Oryctolagus cuniculus: one gene and its partner. The protein of the gene in region 1 interacts with the protein of each later gene in a pairwise test. Links are inferred from orthologs where the notes say so. Each region holds a gene or a part of one and is shown in the gene's direction. Other genes may lie near its edges.

Region 1 (7,428 bases):
GAGAGTAGAGTTCCTCCTCCCCCACGGGTTCATTTCCCAAATGCCCCCAAGAACCGGGGCTGGGCACGGTTGGAGGCCAGGGGCAGTCTCCCCCTGCCTGCCTGCCAGAGCCATCGCGGAGGATTTGCAGGGTGTGCGTCGGCAGGACGCTGGAAGCGGCAGCAGAGCCGGGGCGCACACCCAGGCCCGGGACCGGGCGAGGGCATCCCAAGCGGCCCCAGGACCATCTGAATGGCGGCCAAATCTCGCTCATCAGACTCCTGTGCAGGGCAGAGGGCAGACCCCCGCCCGGCAGAGGCACGTGGCACACAGGGGCTCAGCAGAGGCGGCTCCTAGGCAACCCAGACCGGTGCTCCGGGGACGATGCAAAGTGCCCTCTGGGCCGCTCCGGGCCAGGAGATGCCCAGTGGCCAGTGCAGAGAGGCGCGGCTCTGGACTGCCGGCCTCCCAGCTCCAGGCAGGCTGAGGGCTGTGGAGCATCCTACTGGGCGTGGAGTTCAGGCAGAGAGGGGAGAACCACGGGAGGGGAGGCCACCAGCCAGCGTGGGTTCTGCATGCAGCTGTAGCCTTGACTGCCCCCCAGCCCTGGGAAGCCGGCCATCCGGAGTGGGCACTCCCAGTGCTGACTGCAGTGGGGTCAGGCCCTCGAGGTCCCAGGGACTCAGCACCATCTGCAGCTGGAGCCCAGGCCAGCCCTGAGCCACCCTCCCTGCCCCACACCTGTCCCCAGGTCTCCCGAGAACATGGGGACCTGGCATGGTGGACGTCCAGCCTTGCCCGTAGCCAAGGCCCCATGGTGGGGGTGGGAGTTCCCTCCTCCTGAGATGCAGCAGCGAGGCTCCGTCCCCGCCCCCCCACCAGAGTCGGACAGGGATGCTTTCCCGTAGGAAACCAGGCCAGGCAGTCGCCATGCATCTGGGCGTCCAGGCCGGGGCTGCTCCACTTCACTCCCTGCCAACACCAGGGAAGGCAGCGAGAATGACCCATGGGCCCTGCCACCCACATGGGAGACCTGGATGGAGTTCCTGGCTCCTGGCTTTGGCCTGGGAAGTGAATCAGCGGATGGAAAACCTAGCTGCGCCCCCACCACCCCCACACACCCTGACTCTCCTATTAATTAATTTCTAATTAATCTTTCTAAAACAATGTCTCCTGAAAAACCACTTGGGGGCCCCAGAGTCCCCCACCCCAAGGAGGGAGGCCTGGAGCGATGGGGTCGGGCCTCCTGCCGGACTGCCCAGCAGCACCCCCCAGCCCCTCCTCAGCCCTTCCCCCACCCAGCACCTGCAGTCCCCCCACGCCCCAGATGAAGGCCCCACTGCCCTGTGCCTCCAGCTGGGCTCCACCTGCCTCACCTCCTCCTGCGATGCCGCGGAGACACGGAGACACGGAGACACGGAGACACGGAGACACCGCAGCCTCAGCCCCACGGCGGCCCCAACCACTGAGACAGCCCCGGCGGGGACGCAGAGGGACCGGCCGGCGGCCCCGGCTGGGAACCCACCCCTGACCGTGGGCCTTTCTGCAGCTTGTCTCCCCGGCTTCCACAGAGCCTGCAGCGCCCGGAGGACACCAGGGACCCGGCGCTTTGAGGAGGGGGCTTCCTGGGTATGAGGCTGAGGCTGGCAACCGTGCTCCGGGGTTCTGGGGAGTCAGACACAGAGGAGGGGGCTGTGGGACCAGGGAGGAGGTCAGGTCTGCCAGCCCCTTCCCCGTGGGCTGCAGCTTGGAGTGGGGTCTCCCCCCACCCAGGCCCAGGACTGGGCGTGATCTACCGAGCCCTTCTGAGCGCCCAGGCTGGGTGGCGGACAAGGGGCAGTCACACACCCCCAGCCCCGCTTTCAGGGCCTGCTCTGGCTTGGGGGTGGGGTACAGGCCTACAGGGGTCCACTCTGGGAGCCCCCTCCCAAGGCTGGGATCACAGTCAGGAATGGGGGAGGAAAGGAGGGAGTCGAGCCACTTAGCTCTCGGCAGGGGAGGCCGCGGGTGGGAAGGGGCTCCCTGCTCCTCCTTCCTGGCAAGGTGGCTGAGGCGGACCGCTGGGCGCAGACCCCGAGCTGGGCACTCCGGAGGTCCCTAGCGCGCTCGTACACACGCATGGGACACAAGGGCCCGAGGACCCCTCGGAGGAGCCCCTGCAGAGCGGGCCCTCCCGCCAGGTCACCCCGGCCCGCGAGGGTTCGCAGGTCGCTCCCTCCCCAAGTCCGTCGAGGTCGCACGAGTGGGCGTCGAGCGGAAGCCCCTGCCCCTAACCCCGGGGCGTAGGGGAAGCGCGGTGCGCAGACGGACGCCCAAGGAGGTCTCCGCCCAAAGGGGTTCTCCGCCCAAGGGGCCGCCAGCCTCGGCTGGCTCAGCCCGGCTTTCGGACCCGCGGCCTCGGGCCTCCTAGGAAGGGCGCGGACCCGACCCCGCGCTCCCTAGCGACGGAAGCGAAGACCCTGAGTCCAGCCGTCCCGTGGAGCCGGTGGGCGGGTTCTGCGCCCTGCGCAGTCCGCGCTCCGCCCCTCAGGTCCCTGGCTTCCCCCGACCCTCCGCGGCGGGGTCTCCCGGCACCCCGCCCCCCCACCTGGCCGGGCGGGGCGTCACAAGGGCCCGCGGTTTCTTGGCAACCCACTGGCCGGCAGGCGCGAGACTGGGTCCCCCCTCGCGCACTGGGCAAGTGGCTGAGCAGCTGGGCTTCGCGACGCAGGGCAAGTGGGCTCAGCCTGGACGGCGCTGGGACGGCAGAGGAGGCGGCGGCGGGGGCGGGGAGGGGGGGCGGTTAGGTGGGCGGGAGGAGGGTGAGGGTGGGGTCTGCCGAGAGGCCTGGGGAGGGGGCGCTCCCAGCAGCCTTGCCCCCGTTCACTGCCAGCCCAGGTTCTCTTCCGCGGAGGGAAACGTCTAGGGTGGACTCAGGCCTGGGCGCTGGGTTCTGGCTTCAGCTTGTCCTCCACCCCGAGATGCCCCCTGTGGTCCCGGCAGCCTGATCTAGACCCTTGCCCCAGAAAGGTCACAGCCAACAGGGGGCGGGCACTGCTCCCCCCCACCAGCACCTGTGTGGCCTGGGCGAGCTCCTGGGGCTCGGTCTCTCCCTTTTAACACGCCCAACCAGCCAGGGGTCACAGCCTGAGGTTCCCCGCCCCCGAAGCCCATGGCCCTGCTCAGGGGGCTGCTTCAGCCCTGGGGGCCCCGGGCCCAGGGTGGCTCCTGGATGCCGGGCTGCAGGGCCAGCCCCGCACGGGGCCAGGGACCACAGCTGCACCGGCCTCTCCCACTGACTCCCAGGGCTGGCACCCTGGGCCTGGGGACAGGGAGGAGGGGGCAGACTGTGGGGCTGGGCGTGGTGGCTGGGTTCCAACCCTGGACAAGAGCAAGCCACCAAGCGATTTAGCCTCAGGCCCCCATCTGTGAGATGAGGGATGGGTCTGCCCCTTGTGGGACCTTCGGTCACTGGACCCCAGCACCCCGAGAGCAGCAAGCCTGAGTATTCTCAGAGTGGGGGCCTGGACTCCTGCTCCTGCACCCGCCCCACCTGCCTCTGGCGGAGCCCTGGTCCCTCTGCACTGTAAGCGGTGAGGCGTGGGGGTGCCCAGGGAGAACCCGTGGGGAGGGTGTTCCCCAGGTGCCCCCCCGGGGGTCCATGCTTCTCGGGACCAAGGCTGACGCTACCCTGCCTCAGACCAGGGCCTCACGGCTGGGCGGCAGCCATTGCAGCATCCACAGCCCACTCTGAGCCCCACGTCGTCCCCACGGGAGACAGCCGGCCCCTCGGCACGCGCTGTCGTCCAGCCCTGCGTCTGGCTGCTGGGTCCGCCAGGCAGCCCTCCCCAGACCAGCGTGGGGGACAGAAGTCCGAGTCGAAGGGTGCGGGCCCAGAGCCACCCCCTCGCTCGCTGAGGCCGCCCGTGTGCGCGGCCTGGTGGCGGCTCACCTGCGGCCCTCTGCCCCCTCCCCCAGCTCCCAGCCATGAACTTCCAGGTGAGGGGCCTGGGCCTGGACAAGATGAAGCTGGACAGCCCGCAGTCCTGCCTGGACCAGGAGGAGGTGGAGGAGGCGGAGGAGGCCGAGGACCAGCAGCTGCTGGAGCCCGAGGCCTGGAGGACCTACGTGGAACGCCGCAACGCCCTGCGGGAGTTCCTGGCCTCGGACCTGAGCCCCCACCTGCTGAAGCGCCACCACGCGCGCGTGCAGCTGCTCCGGAAGTGCTCCTACTACATCGAGGTCCTCCCCAAGCACCTGGCCCTGGGCGACCAGAACCCGCTGGTGCTGCCCAGCGCCATGTTCCAGCTCATCGACCCCTGGAAGTTCCAGCGCATGAAGAAGGTGGGGACGGCGCAGACCAAGATCCAGCTGCTGCTGCTTGGCGACCTGCTGGAGCAGCTGGACCGCGGCCGCGCCGTGCTGGACGCCCTGCTGGAGTCGCCCGACCCGCGGCCCTTCCTGGCCGGCTGGGCGCTGGTGGAGCAGCGGCTGACGGACCTGTCGGCCACCATGGACAGCTTCCTGGCCATCATGGTGCCCGGGCGCCTGCACATTAAGCACCGCCTGGTGTCCGACATCGGGGCCACCAAGATCCCCCACATCCGGCTCATGCTGAGCACCAAGACGCCGGTCATGTTCGACCGCAAGGAGTCGGTGGCCCACCAGGACTGGGCCAGCCTGCGCTGGTTCGTCACCCTGCAGCCCGCGGCGCCCGAGCAGTTCGAGCTGCGCTTCAAGCTGCTGGAGCCGCGGACGCAGCAGGAGCGCACGCACGGCGGCGTGATCCCCGTGGCCGCCTGCGCCTTCGCCGTCCGCAACCTGCTGCCCAGCCGCTCCTACAGGTTCACCATCAAGAGGGCCGAGAGCTACACGCTGGTGTACGAGCCCTGGCGGGACAGCCTCACCCTGCACACCAAGCCGGGCCCCCAGTCGGCCGGGTGAGCCGCACCCTCCACAGATGATTTTCTAGTATTTATGCACTAATAAAGACGCGTATGAATGCAGAGAGCCTGGGGGCCGAACCCCCACCAGGGCGGAGGGCGGCCTCGGCCCGATCCGCGCTTCTGCCTCCCTGTCCCTCCACCGGAACCAGAACCAGAACCGAGCCCTGGCCGTCCTTCCTTCCTTCCTTTTTTGAATTTGAGAGACAGACAGATCTCTCCCACCTGTCGACTTGCTCCCTGAATGCCCACAACAGCCAGGGCTGCACCAGGCGAGAGCTGGGAACCAGATACCTGGCAGGAACCCACGTCCCTGAGCTGCTGCCCCCACTGCCCCCACTGCCCACAGCCCCCACTGCCCCCGGCCCTCACCGCCCCCCACTGCCCACAGTCCCCACTGCCCACCACCCCTCAATGCCCCCCACTGCCCACCACTGCCCCCCATTGCCCACAGCCCCCACTGCCCACCGCCCCTCACTGCCCCCCACTGCCCGTAGCCCTCACTGCCCCCCACTGCCCCCCATTGCCCACAGCCCTCACTGCCCCCCATTGCCCACAGCCCCCACTGCCCACCGCCCCTCACTGCCCCCCACTGCCCACAGCCCCCACTGCCCCAGCCCCCTCCCCCCCGGCAGACGTCAGCACACCCGGAAGGGAGTGGAGCTCTGTAACAGGTCTGTGCCTGGTCTTGCGCGCTGTGAGAAGACTGTGATTTGTAAAAGCTGCCAGCATCAGACAGGCCCGCCTCCTGGCTCTGACAACTGGACCTGGGAGGGGATCTGCTCCTCTGGTCAGTGGTGGGGGCGGGGCAGGTGCCCTGGCAGTCTGCCTGCCCGGGCCATCTGTCCCACGGCTCAGGGCCGATGGCTGGGACTGGCAGAAGCAGAGCTGTCTCTTTGAGGGAGGCCCCTGGCCACCGGCTGGACTGTGGCCCTTCCCAGCAGCAGACACCGGCTCCAGGAGTGCCCTGAGCCCTGGGGGTTCCCTTGCTGCCCCCACACTTCCCAGCAACAGCCACCCTGAGAGCCCCTGTCACCAGCCATCCTGGGAGAAGCCACATGGAGGAATCTGTGCACCTGCCCCTGGCCGCCAGCAGCGGGAGAGGAGGTGCTCAGATGTGAGGGGCGGGAGCCAGGGCCCCTCCTTCACCCTCCCCCAGCCCTGAGCCCACACCCCCGGAGCCTGGCTGTGTTCCCTCAGGATCCACAAGGCCTGGAAGATTCCTGAGCCTGCTCAGTCCCCACTGGTCCCGGCTGCGGCCAGCGCGCGTGGACGGGGCTCAGCAGCCGGCGGCAACACCTGCACCCTGGGCTCTGCCCCGGCGCACCAGGAGCTTGCTCTGCGGCCTGTGTCCTTCCAGGGTGTGGGGATGGCCCAAGGCCTTCTGGGAGCCGGTGAGGGGTGCCTGTCGCGGCAATGGAGCCGCCATCCAGCCGTGGTCTCGGTGTAGGTGGCCAGCTGGACCTGCCTCCCTGGAGGGGGCTTTGTGCCGGGAGTGGGGCAGGTGCAACGCTGGGGGCAGCTTCGAGCTGGCGGCTGCTGGGTGCCGTGACCAGGAACTCAGCCACAGCGCCCAGCACAGTCCCTGTCCAGCTCGTGGACAGGCACTGGGGGCCCTGGATCTCCTCGGCTGCCTCCCATAGGACAACGGGGGGTCCAAGCAGACCACAGAAGACACGAGGTGCAGGCAGACCGCGCACTGCCCTTCGACGTGGAGACCAAGAGGCAGATGGCGAGGCACGTCCAGCGCACGGCGCCCTGTAGGCAGGACTCCACGTCCAGTGCCCCACTGCTGGCTAGAAGCTGGCCACGTCAGCCTCCCGCACGGTCCCCTCACACCAGAGAGCACCCTGGGGGTCCACAGTGCAGGCCAGGATGCTGTGCAGTGCCCTCTGTGGCCAGCGGCCGGCAAGCCCCTCACACTGTCTGCAGTGCTCAGCCATGAAGGCTGGGTCCGCACTGCAGGACAAGGACCCAGAGGCCCTGCTCCCAGCCCGTGGCCTCGACAGGTGGCTCCAAGGTGATGGCCAGCAGGCAGCAGAGGGGCTCACACCTCTGCAGGAAGCCCACCCCGAAGGGCGGGAGTGCGGGTGCTTCAGCCCAGTGTGACCAAGCTGCTGACCGGGACAAGGACAAGAGGGTCGCACTCTTGCGGCCCTGCAGTGGCCCCCATTTAAGAAAGTGAATATTCAAAAGAGGGCGGGGTTTGGGGTGGGGCGTGGGGCTATTTCCACGCCCTTTGTAGGAGATGGGACACCGTATCAGGAGCAGGGTGGGAGTGGGCGTGCCCCATGGTAATTTTATTATAATGACCTAAAGCACTTGGGAGGGGACACATCCTGCAGCCATGCTGAGGGCTTCCAGCCAGCAAGGGTGCCAAGTTCCCACGACAGGGAGCGGGGCCACCTGGAGGGGCGGGGCTCCACAGCACACTGAAAGGGGAGGGAGCTGCCAGACCTCAGCTCCTGTCCCTCTCTGCCCACAACAGTGACCACAGCCACAGCTCGATCTGTGGCAAATTTGCTGT
Region 2 (6,991 bases), on another chromosome or scaffold:
AGAAGAGGAACATGAAGATGAGAGCCATGCTGGCTCAGAGAAGGTAATTGAATTTTTATTACTTGACTTCCTATTAAGATGTCATTAAAATATTTGGGCAAATATTTAGGACCATGAATTACTCTGATCGAATTTTCAATTTTCTGAAAAGGTCAATGATTTATATAAATATGATTTGCTTTCTAAAGTAGTTTTTTCTAATTATGTAGTTACTTTGCAAAAATAAGTGTTAAAATAAGTTGTCTTCATATCTCTTTCCTTCTGATTTCCCTGCTTTCATCCTGCTTGCCTTCTTTTTTTTTTTTTTTTTTTTTTTTGGTTTTTTTTTTTTTTTTTTGTTTTTTGCCTTTGTTGAATAGATCTGAAGACTTAGGACCAGAGAGGTTTGAGTATCCTGTTCAGCTTAGTTTTTGATTCCTTGATGAGAATGTTTCCTAAACCTAATGATAAAATGTATTACATTAGTGCATTCTCATTGGAAATCTAGCCATGATCTATTGAAGTTTTTAATAACTGTACTCTTTAGAACTCATTTTTTTTATTCCCTAAAAATCAGGATGACGAATCATTTAATTTGCATAACAGCAATAGTACTCACCAAGAAAGGGATATAAACCGAAACTTTGATGAAAATGAAATTCCACAGGAGAATGGGAACGCTTCGGTTATTTCCCAACAGATCATTCGCTCTTCAACCTTTCCACAAACTGATGTTCTTTCAAGTTCACTTGAGGCAGAACACAGGTTAGTATTTTTTACTTTTTTTCTGGCATTTTAAATATTCAGGATTTCTATATGGCGTTCTAGTGACTTATTTTTTAATAGGCTTCAGATAGGATTTATAATAGTGTAAGTCTCACCCATTTTAAGTGTACAGATACCAGTGATTTTTAATACATTCACAGTGGTGCAACTGCTACTACAATCTAATTTTAAAACATTTCTATCACTGTAGAAAAAAGTCCCAAGCCCATTTACATTTTCTCTTTGTTTCCACTTGGTCTTAGACAGCCAGTAATCTATTTTTGTGGCCATAGATTTGCCTTTTTGGCTATTCATATAAGTGTAGTCACTCAGAATGTGATTTTTTGTTCTCTTTCATCTTTCATTATACATAGCACATTCAAGATTCATTTGTGTTGTGGTACATGTCAGTACTTTGTTCCCTTTATTTGTCTTGAGTAAATACCTAAGATGTTTGATAGTACATATGGCAATTAAGTTTGACATTCTGAAAACCTATCAAACTATTTTTCAAAATGCACTGTTTTGTATCCTCATCAGCAATATAGAAAGTTTCAGTTTCTCACCCATACTTGGTATCATCTGCCTTTGCTTATAAGCTTTCTTGAGGGTATGTGATAATGCCTTTTTTTTGTGGTTTTTAGTATATATTTCTCTAATGTCTAACAGTTTTGAATGTCTTTTCATGTTCCTACTGGCCATTTATACATTATCTGTGGGAGACAGAGTTTCTAAAATACACTCACTGCCTTTTTAATAATTTTCATCAAGTTGCTAAGAGTTCCTTATTTTATGTATTTATTTATATTTGACTTAAGGTGACCTTTTACTTCCTCAGCCATCCCTTTAAAGGCAAAATGTTTCAGGTTTTTGTTGTTATTGTTAATGTTTGTTTATTTCTTTGCATTTACTTGAAAGGTAGAGTGACACACAGAGATTTTCTATCTGCTGGTTCCTAAATGCCTGCAACAATCAGGCTGGGCCAGGTCAAAGCCAGGATCCAAGAACTCCATCTGGGTCTCCCACTTGGGTGGCAGGGGCAATTTGAGCCATCATTTTCTTCTTCTTCTTCTTCTTCTTCTTCTTCTTCTTCTTCTTTTTTTTTTTTTTTTTTTTTTTTTTTTTGACAGGCAGAGTGGACAGTGAGAGAGAGAGAGAGAGACAGAGAGAAAGGTCTTCCTTTGCCGTTGGTTCACCCTGCTGATCCGATGGCAGGAGCCAGGTGCTTTTCCTGGTCTCCCATGGGGTGCAGGGTCCAAGCACCTGGGCCATCCTCCACTGCACTCCCTGGCCACAGCAGAGAGCTGGCCTGGAAGAGGGGCAACTGGGGCAGAATCCGGTGCCCCAACCGGGACTAGAACCCGGTGTGCCAGTGCTGCTAGGCGGAGGATTAGCCTAGTGAGCCGTGGCGCCGGCCTTTTTTTTTTTTTTTTTTTTTTTTTTTTTAAGATTTATTATTTATTTTAAAGAGTTACACACAGAGAGAAGGAGATGCAGAGGGAGAGAGGTCTTCCATCCTCTGGTTCACTCCCCAGTTGGCCGCAATGGTGAGAGCAACATCAGTCTGAAGCTAGGAGCTTCTTCTGGGTCTCCCACACGCGTGCAAAGGCCAAAGCACTTGGGCCATCTTCCATTGCTTTCCCAGGCTATAGCAGAGAGCTGGATCAGAAGTGGAGCAGCCAGGACTCGAACTGACACCCACATGGGATGCTGGCACTTCAGGCAGCAACTTTATCCTCCATGCCACAGTGCCGGCCCCTTCTTAAAAAAAGAGTTATTTTTTTGAGAGACAGAGTTAGAGAGAGGCATTCCACCTGCTGGCCCCAAATGGCTTTAACAACTTGAGCTGGGCCAACCTGAAGCCAGGAGGCAGGAGTTTTCTCCTGGTCTCCCTCGCTGGTGCAGGGACCCAAGTGCTTGGGGCTTCTTCAATTGCTTTCCCAGGCCATTAGCAGAGAGCTGGATCAGAAGAGGAACAGCAGGACACTAACTGGCATCTATATGGTATGCTGGCCCCACAGGCTGTGGCTTAGCCTACTACATCACAGCTCCAGCCCCATGCCATCATCTTTTGTTCATGGTCACTAACAGCTGAAAGTTTACAGTAGCTAATATATGGCAGGCTGAAAGTGAAAGATGAGTAGTTGTAAATAGGCATATAGAAGACCTCAGGAATGCAATTTTAAACAAAACTTTGTCAGACCAGTATGATATAAGTAAGATACAGAAACTCTGAGCCTGTCGCCGTGACTCACTTGGTTAATCCTCCGACTGCAGCGCCAGCATCCTGTATGGGCACCAGGTTCCCCAGTTGCTCCTCTTCCAGTCCAGCTCTCTGCTGTAGCCCGGGAGGGCAGTGGAGGATGCCCCAGATGCTTGGGCCCCTGCACCTGCATGGGAGATCAGGAGGAAGCACCTGGCTCCTGGCTTCGGATCAGAGCTGTGAGCTGTGCCGATCTGGAGCCAGAAACTTCTTTGAGTGGGTGCAGGGGCCCAAGGATTTGGGCCATCTTCCACTGCTTTCCCAGGCCATGGCAGAGTGGATTGGAAGAGGAGCAACCAGGACTATAACCAGCACCCATATGGGATGCCAGCACTTTAGGCCAGGGCCTTAACTTGCTGCGCCACAGCACACCCCCTCCCCCCCTTTTTTTTTTCTTCAAAATTGGAAGGAAAATGGTATAGCCATATTTGGCATTTTTATTTATATTCTCTATAATATCTGTTAAGTCATTTTTGTTACTGAATGTGTCTCAAATTGCATTATGTTGTGGATGATGCTTGTTTTGTCATGCCTATAAGAGGTAATGTTAATAGATTATAAAATACAACATAAGGTAAACTATGCCAGCTTGTTTCTTCATAAAGTAGAAAACCTAGTAAGTAGCTAAGAATATAGTAGAGTATGGTGGAATTGAAGAAAAAGAGGAGGGGTATTGCTTTTACTTTTTGTACAAGAATTTACTAGATTTTCTTCAGGTCTCTCCTATTATAAGTTTTCTGCCCAGAAATCATTTGACTGCAGATTGGGCAGTTAAGCAGTTTCTTTTTATTTTATTATCAAAATTTATTAGACTTAATTTTAACCTGTTTTATTATTTGCAGATTCTAGGCTTAAACTCAACATCTGTTGATATGTCTTAGAGACTTTGTATAATGGATCCTGGATCAAGTTTTTTTGCATATAATATAAATGGAATTTATAATATATATGTTATATATAAATATAATGGAATTTTCTACTCAGGAGAAGCTCTAAATTGAACTTAATTTCATCCCTTTGTAGATTGTTAAAAGAGATGGGTTGGCAAGAAGATAGTGAAAATGATGAAACGTGTGCTCCCTTAACTGAGGATGAGATGAGAGAATTCCAAGTTATTAGTGAACAGGTAAGATAAGCTGAATTATGCAAGTTTACTTTTAGATTGCCCTTCCATAAATAGAGGAGCATAATTACAAGTAGGCATGGTGTGAGGGGTGTTATAGTTTCATTTAGTAATTTGTTAGACATCACATAATAGATCATAATTGCCTTTGTTTTTAGACAGCTCTGCAATGAGCTTTAAACTTTTGAGTGTGCGCTACATAGAAATTAGTGTCTATAATTTGTCAGTTTTGTTTATTTAATTTTATTTCTGGCATGGGTGACAAGTAGAGAGCATCAATAGCTTTCCAAACATCTTCACCTTGCACAAGAATATTCCATATTCCAAGAGCATCTGGTTTTACTTCTCCATAAACACCTTCCTTTCCACTATTTTTTTATTTTTTGTTTTTTAATTTGAGAGACAGAGAAAGCATGTACACTAGCTTCCAACTGCTAGTTCACTCCCTATATGTCCACAGTAGCTGGGCCAGGGCAAACCAAATCCAGAATCCAGGAACTCGGTTTAGATTTCCATGTCTGTGACAGGGACCTAACTGCTTGAGTCATTACCACGGCATTTCAGAGAATGCCTTAGCAGGAAGCTGGAGTTAGGAGCCAGAGCTGACATTGAACCCTGTCATTCTAGTGTGAGTTTTGGATGTCTTTAACTGTTAGGGCAGACATCTGCCCCCATAACTTTCCTTTTCAGAGAATATTGGGAAATGTTTGCTAGAGCATCAGGAAGTTGAGATACTTTTTATTTTTTAAATTACTCTGGTTATACATCTCTTGATTTTCTATACGGAGACATTATAATTGATTTTGTTGATCTTCAAAGCACTTCAGAAGTGTTTTGAATCGGATCTTTGAAGAAATGAGTCATTTCTAATTTTGTAATACAGTGAGTTTGAGCATCTCAATTAAAAATTTTAAAGGATGAATGTAGTATAGTGATCATCCCAGTGTACTTTTTGAACTTTTTAAAGTTTTTGAAGTTAAAAACTTCACATGACTTAACCATTTTAACATTGTACAGGTCAGTAAGCATTGTGGCACTGTTAAGCAACCATCCCCAATGTATATCTGCATTTGTCATCTTCCCAACTTGAAACCTCATACTCATTAATTTTATTTTATTTTTTTTTAAGATTTACTTATTTACAGTTACAGAGAGGCAGAGGCAGAGCGAGAGGTCTTCCATCTGCTGGTTCATCCCCCAGATAGCCACAGTGGCCGGATCTGGGTCGATCTGAAGCCAGGAGCCAGGAGCCAGGAGCTTCTTCCAGGTCTTCCATCTGGGTGCAGGAGCCCAAGGACTTGGGCCAGTTTCTGCTTTCCCAGGCCATAGCAGAGAGCTGGATAGGAAGTGGAGCAGCTAGGACTCGAACCAGCACCCATACAGGGTGCTGGCACTGCAGGTGGCAGCTTTACCTGCTGTGCCACAGCGCCGGCACCCCTATACCCATTAAACAATAGCTTAACATTCCCTGCTGCACCATCCTTGGAAAGCCCCCAGTCTAGTTTTTATCTCTATGAATTTGACAGTTTTCCATAGCTTACATTAGTGGAATCATGTAATATTTGTCATTTTGTGATGGACTTATTTCACTTAGCCTTATGTATTTCTTCTCAAGGTTCATCCATGTAGCATGTGTCAAAATTGTCTTTCTTTCTAAAAAAAGCTAAATAATGTTACATTATGTATATATATTTATTTATCCATTTATCTGTTGATGGATACTTCGGTTGCTTTTCTTTTTAGCTACTATAAATACTGCTCTAAGGAAAGTAGTACAAATAACTGTTTGAGTCCTTGGCTTCAGTACTTTGGGTATATTATATACCTAGTAGTAGAATTAGTGGATCTTAGGGCAACTAAATAAAAATTTTTTAAAGATTTATTTATTTATTTGAAAGAGTTACACAGAGAAAGAGAGGCAGAGAGAGAGAGAGCACTCTTCCATCTGCTGGTTCACTCTCCAATTGGCCACAACGGCTGCCATTGAGCTGATCCAAAGTGAGGAGCCAGGAGCTGGGGCCCAAGCACGTGGGCCATCTTCTGCTGGTTTCCCAGGCCGTAGCAGAGAGCTGGATCGGAAGTGGAGCAGGCAGGACTCGAACTGGCACCCATGTGGGATGCCGGCACTATGGGAGGTGGCTTTACCCACTATGCCACAGTGCCAGCTCCAGTATTTTTTTTTAGACTTACTTATTTATTTGAAAGGCCGAGTTACAGAAAGAGAAGAGAAGAGACACACAGTGATCTTCCAGCTGCTGGTTCATTCTCCAAGTGGGCGCAACAACCGGGGCTGGGCCAGGAGTCTGGAACTCCATCCTGGTCTCCCGTGGGTGACAGAGACAGTGCTAGGACCATGTCTTCGGCTTATTGTTCCTAATTTTAAAGGTATATAATAATGTAAGCCATGATTTAAGTAGTACTTCCAGGTTTGGACTTCTGCAGATTACTTGTAATCTTTATGATAACATATAGAAAGTTTCAAATATTAACTTATTTAAGTGGATTTAGAGTTTGACATGACAGTTGACCAGAGTCCCATTTTTCATGAATGGCTTTCAAAAGGAGTTAATGCAATGGGTGTTAAATGTTAATTTCACATTTGTAGCTTATTTTGCATTGGGGCCAACCATCTTTTTTGCTCTGTGACTGGCACCCATTCTTCCTGATAGAATAGTAATTCTTCAGTTCTAACTTACCGTATTTAGGAAAAAGGACCATTATTTTTTCAGTATCTTAGTCTCCATGGTTAAGCAAAGGATTCTATTTGATGTTGTTACTTTGTAGTTCTCATGCTACTTATTTTACAAAGTATGAATAAAGCAGACTATACTATGTTAATTTAGGTCAGAATAAAAATAACA

The links.
Region 2: the proteins of FNDC11 (region 1) and GPBP1 interact in binary tests that used the Homo sapiens proteins (3 or more experiments, as listed by UniProt). The link is inferred for Oryctolagus cuniculus from reciprocal best matches to the Homo sapiens genes FNDC11 and GPBP1.

What each region holds. Positions count from the first base shown.
Region 1 is NC_091442.1:427,428-434,855, reverse strand, and holds FNDC11 (fibronectin type III domain-containing protein 11), read left to right. Parts: upstream 1-2,533; 5' UTR 2,534-2,655; exon of another isoform or gene 2,656-2,690; intron 2,691-3,936; 5' UTR 3,937-3,945; coding exon 3,946-4,902; 3' UTR 4,903-4,964; downstream 4,965-7,428.
Region 2 is NC_091445.1:77,922,849-77,929,839, forward strand, and holds part of GPBP1 (vasculin), read left to right. Parts: coding exon 1-43; intron 44-556; coding exon 557-744; intron 745-4,030; coding exon 4,031-4,133; intron 4,134-6,991. UniProt on the Homo sapiens protein: Functions as a GC-rich promoter-specific transactivating transcription factor.